Neodiprion lecontei: one gene and its partner. The protein of the gene in region 2 binds, or shares a complex with, the protein of the main gene of each other region. Links are inferred from orthologs where the notes say so. Each region holds a gene or a part of one and is shown on either strand. Other genes may lie near its edges.

Evidence for each region.
Region 1: the proteins of myosin heavy chain, muscle (region 2) and myosin light chain 1 are in contact, whole or in part, in a crystal structure (PDB 5W1A), measured with the Drosophila melanogaster proteins. The link is inferred for Neodiprion lecontei from reciprocal best matches to the Drosophila melanogaster genes Mhc and Mlc1. Residues at the interface, in NP_723999.1 of Drosophila melanogaster: Arg25, Ile26, Ser29, Asp718, Lys720, Met721, Arg722, Gln724, Ile725, Pro728, Arg776, Leu780, Gly781, Ile783, Met784, Ser785, Trp786, Met787, Gln788, Ala789, Trp790, Ala791, Arg792, Gly793, Tyr794, Leu795, Ser796, Arg797, Lys798, Phe800; in NP_001287569.1 of Drosophila melanogaster: Phe14, Val15, Val18, Met19, Asp33, Arg36, Ala37, Asn39, Leu40, Asn41, Pro42, Thr43, Leu44, Glu78, Gln79, Gly80, Cys81, Asp84, Phe85, Glu87, Cys88, Leu89, Lys90, Leu91, Tyr92, Asp93, Lys94, Glu96, Ala103, Glu104.

Annotation. Positions count from the first base shown.
Region 1 is NC_060260.1:11,421,281-11,429,180, reverse strand, and holds the start of myosin light chain 1, read right to left. Parts: upstream 6,120-7,900; 5' UTR 5,998-6,119; coding exon 5,995-5,997; intron 5,627-5,994; coding exon 5,599-5,626; intron 3,839-5,598; coding exon 3,530-3,838; intron 2,338-3,529; coding exon 2,251-2,337; intron 1,339-2,250; coding exon of another isoform or gene 1,313-1,338; exon of another isoform or gene 1,284-1,312; intron 728-1,283; exon of another isoform or gene 696-727; intron 340-695; coding exon 284-339; 3' UTR 1-283.
Region 2 is NC_060264.1:2,629,507-2,634,610, reverse strand, and holds the start of myosin heavy chain, muscle, read right to left. Parts: upstream 3,053-5,104; 5' UTR 2,867-3,052; coding exon 2,660-2,866; intron 1,126-2,659; coding exon 982-1,125; intron 920-981; coding exon of another isoform or gene 776-919; intron 148-775; coding exon 1-147. UniProt on the Drosophila melanogaster protein: Muscle contraction.

The sequences.
Region 1 (7,900 bases), on a different chromosome or scaffold from region 2:
GATGATGACATTTAACGATCCGTGTTCTCAAAGATCGGGTGAAATTTAATCACCTTGACGAATCTTGGGGTTTTTGTCCTTCGCTAATTTGTTCGTCTTTAAAATATAATTACTATGCGCGTGTAAAATATTATATAAAATTGCTGTAATTTCGTTGTGTGATATCATTCGTTTTAATTCAATTTTTAACCATATTCTTCCTCCTTTTATGTTTGTTTTCGTTTAAATTTTGTATTTCTCTTTTACCACGTCAATTTGCGATGGATTTGACGACGTTCGGTCTTTATTGGTCGGGGGTGTTGTCGACAGCTGCTCTGTCACACATTCTACGAAGGAACGCTGCAATTGCGAAAGAAAACTGTATCAAAAACATCGAACATAAGCACCAAAATTACAATCACATTTAATAGCAGAGTTATAACATTATGCGATTTTTATCATTATATTCATTGAAGCTGAAACATCGTTATATTTGACTGTAGCGTGCAGTTAATTTAAATTTAGCTAAAGACAAAAAAAAAAAAATGTATTTGATCACCCAACAATTTCAGGCTATAATTGAGATCGGTTTATACTCTTGCGTAACGCTGAATAATTATAAAATTTATCGCGTATCCACGTATAGATGCTATGCTTGAATTGAAATATACTCAATCTGTACATGTATTAAATTCTGATATATTTTCGTTTCACAGCGATGCCAAGAAAAGCGTATACGTAAGCAGGAAGAGACGAAGTGAAAAAATAATGATACATTGGAGCTGATTCAAATGTAACAAACTCCAATTTGACGCAAAACATTTTTACGCAAGTAAAGCTACACAGCTAAGTATTGACATGTTTGATTATTGTAAACAAATATAGTAAACAGTAGCCGAATCGGCAGCGTTGTAACATAGAATAGAGAATGCACGTTCGCAAATTTTCGAAGGACCAAATTTTAGTTTCAGACATTGCTAAGCGAATAAAAATACAATTACACATTGCTTAGTTAAAAGAATATAAAATATACGTATTAAAAATAAAATAAGCATTGTAAATATTACGATGAAACAAACGACAGAATTGTTATTCACTGTGCTGCGAGAATCTTCCAGGCGACGGACTCTGGTGATATTAGCTATATACATATATACATACATACATATATATATATATATACAGAGAGAGAGAGAGAGAGAGAGAAAGGAAAATGCGTACATGTAAAGCTGTGTAAGAAGTAATACAAAAAAGGAAGACATGTAAGATAAAAATGTGAGGAAATCAGGACGGGGTTTACTCACGATTCATGGTTGGTGGTGGCTCCTTGATTTTAAACCATCAGCTTCTTCAGGAATGCTGAAAAATAACCACGAAGGGGAACATGAAACACAGGGATACCTACAGGATCTAATCAGGGTCGTTACATACTCGTCATTCTCATTATTGCAGCGAAGAATTCTACACTGAGAGAAATTTTTAGTTCCGGTTACCTCTCAGTCCTTAACTGTTTTCATTTTTTACCACAGTCGAAAAATATAGTTCTAGGTAGAAAATGAAAATTAATTTTTTAGCTGTTACCGGAAAGTCTATTATCCGTTACTATTTTTTCTCATTACGATCATTGTTGCTATATTATCTTGCAACTGTTGCGAAAATTTAATGCTCGTGCAACAATAAATTGACGTTAAAGCATTATTTAATTAAAAAAGTAGAGTAAACCGAAGAAACTGATTTTGCGTTGCAATAACCAAAAAAGGATCAACGATAGCGCAAAATGGTTACGCGGACCTCGTTTTTCGTAATTCCAACAATATTCAAACAGTTTTTGCAACGATACCTGTTTTACCGAATTTTTCTAGTTACCATAACAAATGAAATTTTTCTGTGTGTACGTTATTCCTCGTCAAATTCGTAAAGGGTCGTTTTAGGGGGGATACGGGGGTGTAAAAGAAAAAGCAAGTATTTACTCTCGCAAACATATCAGTTATCATCCAAACTGGATAATCCATTTTCAACTATGTATAATACGTCTAATTTACTCTAATCTGCGTACAAAATAGATTATTTTTTTCATCAAATTTTCACTTCAAATGTCTATCGCTGATATTTGTCATTTACAATCGGGGCGGTGGGTAATTGCTGTTCACGTGCTGGTGTTCTACGGTTCAATTCAAAGGTAGAGTAGGGTCTTTCAAAAATGTTGGATTCATTTTACTAAATTGTGAAACACGTAAGGGGATGTGGTGCTGTTCTTTCGAGATAACTTACGGGCGTAAGGGATGAAACCATCCTCATCTTCGGGGTCCATGCAGTCCCTGAGTACTTCCTCGGTTTCGGCATCGTTGAGACGTTCACCTGTGTTCGTAAATATATTTTGATAAATAACTTGATTTTCCCGGTAATTTGAAACGCAATAAAACTGTCGTCGAATTAAATTTTTAGTCGTGAGTACATCAGTTTTTAACCATCTTCAATATTTATGTATAAACTAGACGAAATATGTAAACTAGAAAATCTAGTACGTGTTACTATCCTTGTTCATTATCGTCACTTTCACCATATATTGTCAAGCAACGATGTCCAGGCCTAATTTAACCGAACAAATATGTATAGTAAACTAAGTAATCACACTCAAAGTTGCAATAACGCGAGAAATGTAGTGCTGCCTTGTTATAATTATATTGGGGCGGGGTTGAAGTTCCAAATTTGAAAAGATCCGAAAGTGCCTAATTCCAAATTATTTGGTGGCGAAACTTGAGGCGAAGAAATGCAAACTTTGAAGAAACAACAAAGTTTCAAATGGTCGGAAACCCGACGGCTCAAAGTTCCGAAGTGCCAGATTCCGAAAATTCAACTTAAGGCAGATGTAAGTTTCGAAAAGTAAAGTTCCGATAGCGAATATTTCGGAAAAACAAAGTTTCAAAACAAAGAGTAACATTCCGAAAATTAAAACATACCCACACAACGCAGTTTACTCAACGAGCGGGTGAAAGAAATCAGAAAGACCGTAAATGAAAATGACCAGGATTCCGAATGTAAAAATATCGAAGATCCAAAACAAAGAGAGATTAAATTGGTGAAATTTTACCAAGCCGGAAATTCACTTGACTGAAAATCTTCGATCATTCGGAATTTCGGTATGTCAGATTGTTAAATTTTCTCATTTTCGCACTTTCGGAACTTTAACTTGTCGGAGTTATACTCTTTCGGCATTTTGTCCTTTTGAAATTCTGCTCTTTCAGAACTTTGCACTTTCGGAATTTCGAGCGTCGGCTTTCGAACCATTCGAAACGTCGATGTTTCGTAAAAGCTTGATTTCTTTAGTTCAAGTTTCCTCACCAATAAATTCGGAATTTGGTGCTATCAGAACTTTTCAAATTCGGAATTTCCAACCCTCTCGATCACATTACACGGTTATTTGTACGAAATTTTCTTTCAATTGCAACAATATTGAAACTGTTATTTTAACGATACCCATTTCAATACGATTTTCTAGTTACTACAAAAATTAAGTTTTCATCGGTGCGTGAAAAATCTATGAACGCACCAAGGGTGAGGAGTATGTGGGAAAGCTCAGCGGCAAGCATGGTGCCGTTCTCAGCTTTGTCGTAGAGCTTGAGACACTCAAGGAAGTCCTCGTAGCAGCCCTGGTCCTTGTCCTTCTTGACCTGGCTGAAGATGGGCAGGAATTCGTCGAGCTTGAACAGCTTCTCTCCCTTCTTCTTGGTTCCTCCCATTTTCTCGATCGTTGCATTCGTCGGGTTGAGGTTCAGGGCACGGAGAACATTTCCCAGATCGACAGCGTCGATGGTATTTTCACCGGTGAAATCATAGATGGAGAATGCGAATTCCGCCCCTGAAATTATCCCACATTTTATTCAACCCTAAATGTTTATTATTGTCGCGTCTTTTTTTCAAACGCCCATATTCAAGATCGTTGCGGCTTATTTGAAACATTATTCACTTCCCATAAACTTAAAAAAAAAAAGAAAAGAAAACCGAAATATTCATAATTTTTAATAATTATAAGTCGGAAATGTTTTCTCACACGGACAATATTTGTGTAAAGAATTGCCAGAGTAGACTTTTTCTGTTTACAACTTCTTCATCATGCTGTTTTTGACGAAAGTTTCTCAAGTTTCTTCCTTTTTTGTTTGTCTCAGCTAAATGTATGAACTTTCTATTTCAAGTGTGCAAAATGTCGATGTTAGATGCACAAATGCAGATTCACCGTAATGACGGATTTATTAAAAAAATTCCTCTACCGTTAGAAAACTATCGAAGATCTATCTCAGGACGTCTATAAAAGTTCAACTCGTAATACAAAATCACCGCGACGCGGATCGTTTTATACAGATTCGTCTATCCGACAGGCCTGAGATTTTGAGAAAACGATAAAAATACATATTTTGTCTTATAACCGAGGGTCAGACACGCGAAACCTACGCATCGGACTATATTCACAAGTATTCAAAGCACCTCTGTAAAATTGTTATTTATAGAACTGAAACTGGGTGCCACGTAATATGGAACAGGCCCTGTGACCATTATCGCCCAAAACCGTTTCCAGCGTTTCCATAGCCGCTGCTCTTCCCCAAAAGTCTGCTTTCGTATACTCGGTTAATTATTTCGTTCCCGCATGCGCGTTTAATTTGGCGATAATTTTTAGGAAAAAAATATAGAAATCGAGGTCCAACGCTTGCGGAGAGCGTTCTATAAGTTATATTAATTCATTGGCAGAGCTCGTTCGAAAACATCGAATGCCTATGTTTAGACTCGAGTATCGGAACCTCGTGCGAACAGGAGCCTCCGCCTGGCTCAAGTTTCCCCCCGGCCATATAAGAACAGCACCCGAACTATTTTCGGCGTTCGTGTACACCACGCGTTCCCTAATTAGAACAGAATCCGGGCACCCCGATGTTCACCAATTATGTGTACCAACCATCTATTGCGTAATCTCTGTAGGTAGTGTATGAATTTTCAGCATTTTTCTCGCGATTAAATACATCAATTTGAAAATTTCAAACTAACCGAAATACCTCTTACATTTGTAATATAACGTCGCGATTTTTATTTGCAATTTTGATATTATTATTATTATTATTATTATTATTTCTAATTTTCGTGATTACAACTATTTTTATTTCAATCACGTTACGAAGAACCAATTTTATCAATCATTCGTTTATTTTGTTTATTGTTTTTTATTTTATTTTTTTCCATTTCACTTTAGAACTTTTCAATCACTTGGTCGACTTTTTAGATTTATTTTCCGGGTTAGGTGACGTTTCGATTATCGATCTCAGGTCGTTGTCAAATGATTTTTTACCTGTGTTATCGATGCAGGTTGGACATTGTAATCGCTAAACAATTTTAATACGTTTTTTAATCACTGTATGACACGATTCCCGCTGGTGATAGAAAACACTTTCCAGAATAGAGGGAGCGAAATTTGATTGGACCGTCGTCACTTCTTTTTCTCCTAACTTTGGTCTGATTTTACTCTTCCTTTTCTCTCTTTTTTTATGTCTTTCATATCATGTTTTGAAAAAAAGATCTAAGTGAAAGTGTGTGTATAATGTGTTTCGGTATGTACGTGCAGATGAATTTACTCACTTTCGACGTCCTTTGAGCTGAGATCAGCCTGTAAATAAAGAAAAAGTATTGGGTTTATAACCGAAGACCATTTTATGCGATTGCAATGAACTTATGACGAGTCACCTATTTTTTCCACAATTATCACCTCATGCAGAGTTCATTTCCGATGACAATGTACAACTTTGTTGTATCCGAAATTTGAATGCTCAAGTTAATTAATTTAATATTCGATATTCGGTATTATAGCGGGTAATTAAAATAATTTTGCATGCGGATGAGGATACGTCTTTCTTTGGGCGATAAAACGTTAGTTTAATATTCGTGACGAAATTATTATTCATTCGGTATTCAAATGCGAACGTTGTTATAAATCTGAGGCTTAAAACGGATCTCCTCATCAGAAGTCCTACTCACCATTGCTGTTTGGTATGTGTGACGGCTCCTGGATGTTCCCTGAACGAAGTTTGAACCAGAAGTGGGACCAGGAGGCACCGTGCGGATTCATTTTATTAATACAGATGGCGCTCCGACGGACCGACATATGAGAATCGTAAAGATCTCGCCTCAAAAACGTCTCTGTATCTAACTTTGGCAACGTGGCATTCCGAAAAGAGTTTACCGACTCAGAGCCGAAACTGTGTTACGCGTTACGATAAATGGTTTTTAACTATTGTATTTTAGTGTCAGGGTTGCCAGGTCCGTTCTCCTTCATGATTTTCAGCTCCCGGATTATCTCGACTCAAAATACTTGGAGCCCCCATCGAGCACTCCCGTACTTCAAATGAATATTACCCCTGACGGAATTTTCCGACTATGGCGAACGACTGTGCGATTAGACACTTGTAAATTATCGGAAAAAAATGCAGACATCCATTTCAAGTCTCGCCTTTCGATTTCATAATTGTATTGTTGACCATTGTTCAAGTAATTGAATATTACTACGTAATTCAGTTTCGGAATGACTCACTCTAGTGATTCGCATATTGCACGGAAGATTACGCAAGAGTCGGGATGCCGTAAAATAAAATTTCAGTTGAAGTATCAGGGCCACTGTGATAAGAATTAAAAACGGCAATTTTACCAGTAAAATTATAACGATTCTTCATTTTTGCAATTAGTGAACAAAAATATGTACACTTCCACAGAGTTTTTTCAAATATGATAGTAAGTCGGGGTTCAGTTTTCTCAGTCGAATATCTATAACCCATGAGATTACACTAAAGAAGTTCTATTAATATTTGTATAGTCAGACTATCGCTATTCCATTTCAGACAGTCTGTATTATATAATACAGTACAAAATGCGTGTATACGAGCGTACCGATGTATTGAAAAAATATAATAAGAATACCTGCGTGGTTCTATTGAAATGTTTTATTTTTACACAACATCGTACAATACACACTTTACTCTACGTGTATCAGATCATCCGTGTACAATTTGTGCCACAAATCACGCACTACGAAAAGTTTCACCGCTGTTACAGAAGCCGGTGAAACTTTAAATTGAGAAAATTTGTACCTGTTTTTCAAAGTTATGCCGCGATCTTCGCGAGTTTCACAAAAGTAACTCAACGTTCAACGTGTGCGTGGGTTTGGTCATCAAAGTATTTAGCAAAAAATTACTAGACAAATAATTGTATTCTTTAACAAAAAAAGAAACATCCACGCACGAATGATTAAGGCTTAGGAGTCTTTATCCCGTTTAAATCTTGAGAAAAACTTCCTCAATTTTTGTCCAAATGATTTTTTCTTCTTTAATTTTCCCTCGGAGCGTGCACGTTTATCTTGGAACTCGTCCTCACCATTTTCAGCAACGGAAACCGACTCGATGACGGAGGCTTCCGTTGTCTTTCCCTGGAGCGTGTGCTCGATAGCTGACGTCCTGGATTCGGTTCCAATAATTGTAGTTCTGCTGGTAAAAACTCTGTGGATCGGAGGCGTGGCAACAGCTGTAATCAACCCAGCTGTGCACCAGTAAGGTTCTTCTTCCGTGCAATTGTCCAAAAGATCCCTAGGCTGGGTGAAATTTTCCTCAGGCGAAATTGGCTCTTCTTGAATGAAAACATGCCGACCGTGAGACAAAGAAGCCTCAAGCTTCTCGTTTTGAGAATCGGTCGCCTCGCCGATCTCCAAGGAGTGTTGATCAAGCTGCTCTTCCTGGTCTTCTAAATGGAAACCGGAATCTCTGTCGTACCCTGGTCCATCGATTATTCGTATGAATTTTTCTTCCGATTCTTCCCACGTCGCTATGCCTTCCCTGTCTCCGTGAATAGGCGAACTTCCCTTAGCTCCGCCATTCTCTTCCAGCTCCTCGATCAT
Region 2 (5,104 bases):
GTTAACGTAGGCTCCGTCAGAGATGGCGAAAATGTGGGGTGGCACTTCGCTACGCCTCTTACCACGGTACAATTTGGCACAACGCTGAGTGTAGACCGGGTACCTCTTGTAAGGATTGATGGCCACACAGAACAGGCCAGAGTAGGTCTGCGTTTGGCGATAAGAAAAAAAAGAACGTAACAAACGTTAATGTGGGTATAAGCAAAAAATTCTCACAATCAATCATGGCGTGTATCGCTCAAGTTTATATACACGTTTCTTGCAATCTTTGGGTATGATAAGTTGCGTTTTCACGGTGTTATTGATTGGGAGTCTAAAGCATTTCGTATTTTTTCAAGTGATCGCGGTTGTCCCGTGGAAACGCATCTTACAGCGCGTCACCGAAAATTTCGGTGACGTGATTATGGGTTTATTAGTTGGGCATAAAACGAAATTCAGGTCTGGTCATAGAGAGGTGGTCAAGTCTGTTGATTCCACGACTCCCCGACGCCCTTGGACTCTATAAAATGTGAAAGACAAGAAATCGTCATGGGAAATACGGTACGGGCACGTCACTGTGCTTTCGACCGGATCCTCCCTCGGCTTTGGCCGCATGCTGCTGAAACGACTGGTAAGGATGTTAAAAGAACGGCGAGACACGTTCGGTGCTTTGGCCGGATCCTCGGTAACGAGCGATAAGAATGCAAAAGAGGGCAAGGTGAGGAAGCAAAGTGAAATGTGAATCATTCGGAAAACTTCGACAAGAGTGCCCGGTTCCACGGCTTGGATTCCTTACGTAGATCAGCTTGTGGTAGTAACGTTGCTTCAAGTTGTGCAGCACCGAAGCGTCGTTGAGGTATGTCAAGTTCGACATATCCTCGGCCTTCTCATACTTAGGTGGGTTAACCTGCTGCAGCTGGTCCTTCTTGAAGTCCTTAGTCTATATTCCATGGGGGGAGAAACGAAACTCCGTTAGTTGGTTCTCGAATCTTAACAACTTACGTATATCATTTTGTTGTAATATCGTTGTTTCAGGTTGTGAAGGACCGACGCCTCGTTCAGGAAGGTCAGGTCAGCCATGTCTTCGGACTTCTCGAATTTCGGAGGATTCACTTGGGCCACTTGCTCCTTGCGAAACTGTTTCGTCTGCGTGCGGTCAACGGTCGTTCTTTTATTATCAATGACATTGGAATGGTCAGGTAAGTCCTACCATTACTCCGTAAGGCTACGACGTTTCGCATCATTGAAAGATCAAGAAGATCCATAGGATAATACGCGTCGAGTTTCCAGCTCACGGCATGACTAATCTTATCCAAAGAGATCCCGAGGCATTCCGCGAACCTGGTAACGTCAATGTTGTAATTGGTCTTGAACATCTGCGAGTCGGTTTCGTTGATCGCGTGAATATTCGCGCGGTCATTGCGTAAGGCTATCCAGTGTCGCGGGGGTCTAAAAATACCCGGCCAGCACATTACGGCAATGCTGCAAGAAAGAGAGAGAGAGAGAGCGAGAAAGAGAGAGAGAGAGAGAGAGAGAGAGAGAGAGAGAGAGAGAGAGAGAGAGAGAGAGAGAGAGAGAGAGAGTGAGAGAGAAGGAGAGAAACGGAGCCGATCGAGGGGCTCATTTATAGTTCTCGTGCAAGTGAGTAGTAAAAGCCGCCGGTTGAGTCAGCCCTCCTCCCCTGTTAACGATCATCTCGTCATCCCGTTCCTCTCGTCCGGGTTTCTCGCTCTCCCCTAGTCTTCGGGCTAACAATAGCGCGGAGCATCGGAACGTAGGGTTTGCTGAACCATATATTGCGTAACCCATATATCTACTTTCACGTAAGGAATTTAGGATGTTGCTATAAATAAAAAACTGTGTGTTTTCAACGGCGTTCGTCGAAGATTCAAAGAATCGGAACGGATCGACGCGGACCACCGAGGCCACCGTTGTCCCTAGTTTACCGGAAGCTCTGATTATCCTCCTACCTAAGATCTATAAGCATCGTAAACATCTTTTCGTCGGTCCGTCGATCGTCGCATTCAGCTGTGGCGCAATGGTTTCGGTCTACTCGGCAACCGATTTATATAAACGCGTAAGCAAATACGAGTGCCCTGCGTATGGCCGTTGGCCAGGGCAGAGCTTCGTTAGTCCCGCGGGCTATTCTGTTCTTGAAATAGAGCTCGAGGAGCCCGATACGGCGACGCCGACGCCTAGCGTCCCTCACTGCCTTCTGCTTTTTATATATAGCGTATGACCCACACCCCCCTCCCCCCCTCCCCCCTGCCGCCGACGTCCTCCCTCAATACAAGAAAGCGGATATAGACGTTCGGAGCTTGCGTAGGGGGTGCGAAAAATGACACCCCGAATCGACGGTTACGGAACGCGGCAGCCATTGCGTGTTTCGATAACAGTTGAACCGCGTATGGCTTATTAATAGCGTAAGGCTACGTACTACGGATTTTGTTACCGGCTGTCCGGACTGCCGTTTTAGGCGAGGTAAACGGGGAAAAACAATGCGCTTTCAATGAGACAAAAACAAAAAAAAAAGAAAACATAAACTTTCTTCCAAGTACGACGGCACGCGGAGTTTCGAACGCGTTTGAGTATTCGAACGACTTTTTACTTCCTTCTTGACGCGTGTGGAAGGGAAACGGGATTCGGGGATAGGTGTTGTTTCGATTATCTGATTACACACCTCGCCGCCAGGCAGAGATACGGAAACGACGTCGCCCTTGGTGGCCTTGATCTCTCCCAGGACGTATCCCTCCTTTTCGCAGGGTACCCAGCATGCCTTCTTCGCGTCGTAGGGCTTCGTCTGGTCGATTCTCTTCTGCTCGAGGGACACGAAGAGGTATGGGGTTGGGTCGGGGTCCTCCCCCTCCTGCTTTATTGGCTTCGGCATCTTGTTTTCCTCTTTTTTTTTTTATTCGCTGTTACAGATGTCCCTTAATTAATTTGGGGCGTTTTTGTTTTTCTACTTTTTCACTAAGCAGTCGTCAGTTTCGTGCGTGTTTGGCGAGCGGCGGCGGACGGACTACTTCTTGCGGCACGGTCTGGTCGGCCCTGCGAGATCACACGTAACATGCTTACATATCCTGTACAACTTCCATGATTAGGTACGATATATGCTACAGGGTACGTGTTAACGGATAAAGTGTATTCGGGGGTGTGAAACAGTGTGCGTCTGTTTTTCTTGAGGAAGTATTTTTGGATTGAACTGGCATTCGGTGCCATCATACTCGTATCAGCTATGTTTTATCGCGCGAGTTTTTGGGTTTCAAAAAATATATAAAAAACAATCGAGTACGTATGAAAAGCACGGGTGTTATAATTAAATTTCGAGCGTTTAATTTTGCATCAACTCGTTTGACCGGTTTGGAATGCTGTCCTGTACTCCCTTGGAGCAATTCCAACCACCAATTCGAAGCAGACCCCTTTTCACCGCGTCTTTTAAACTTCCGCGTTACATTTCTCAATTCGAGCGCGATACATCCAGTCATATTGATGATCAAAAAACGAAAGATCAATTCGATTAATCTTCAAAAATTGACCCGTGACCATTGGTATTTAATCAAATCACCAAGCCGAGCTTCGTAAAATGAATTTCGAGTTGATAGGTGATAATCATAGAGCGATAAGTCAAGTTCCGAAGAATAGTTCCCCGGCCCGTAGGCTTCGCTGACGTAAGTTCTTCGGTTCCATAATACGACGTGCAATTCCGTTCCGAGGTTTTAAATAACACAATCGGCACATGCGCACACTCATTTATACTGCATAGGCAACAAGATACTCGGAGAAATGTTTCCCCTCGGGATATATAATATGACAAGGGTTTGAAATGGGATGCTTTCAGGGGTTAATCTGGATATCGTTAAGCTCCTCGTCCTCTTCGACTTAGGACCCGTTTATCTCAATTCACACACTCACACACGCATACACACACACACACACACACACACACACACACACACACACACACACACACACACACACACACACACACACACACACACACACACACACACACACACGCACAGAGTAGACTTGTACTCGCATGTATACGAAAAATGGCCGCGCACACACACACACTTCGTTTTTTTTATGGTATTTTTTATTTCCAATATTGCCATTATCCAAATTCGGGAATTTGATTTTGTCAGCTTCGATTCCCGAGTACCCCGAGCACAACATACGACAACTTTTAATTCACCGAAGTTGAAGATTGATTTTTACTGCTTGATCAAGTTGGTTAATATTCTCTTTCCTGCGTTTTTTTTATTTAAGAACCGAAATTTTACTCGGAAATTCTCGCCTGGGTTAATTTTTATATACTCGAAACAATCGACGAACAGCCGTAGAGTCCTTATCAAATCGTTGATATTTCGTTACGCACGTACAATATCCCTTTTATCGTACGACGATGTCACTCTCACTGTATTAATTTTCATGTACTCCTCCAGCCGTATTCAATTATTTATTTTCATGATTAACTTATTTATTTTCCTTGATCGTTTTTACTTCAATTTCGAACGAGGCCGAATATATATTCGTATTCTTGTATACGCGTACGTGTGGTGATGTGCTTACGCGTGTGTGTATAAAAAAAAATATTTCCAGCAAATTTTTATCTTTTATTATTATAATAGTATCAATTATTATTATTATTATTATTATTATTATTGTTGTTGTTGTAGTTTAATTTTTTTTTTCTCTCTCTTCAATCAAGTACGCGTCGGCGATTATTCTTTTTTATTTATATTATTTATTTATTTATTTTTTTTTTTTTTTTATAAATTTTTTCTATTCCTCAATTTTAGCGTGTATGTGTGGGTGAAATGGCAGAGTAACCGACGTGGTGCACTTACGTTAGAGAGCCGTTCTGTCGGGGGAAACTGTCGAACATCCCAATATAAGCGCGTGCAACGTGATCCTGGCTTGGTACGAAGCTGACGATTGGACGGTCGAGCTAACCAATCGGAGCCTACGTTAGTTCCTGGTCCAATCTACCTTTTTAGGCGGAGATGATACCAAAAGTGAGACAGGGGTACGGCGGAAAGCTCCGAGGAGGCGAACGCGCGCGCGCGCGCTTACTTAAAGTGAGATGAAAATAGACGAAGAGTGAGACGCTGGGAAGATTCGA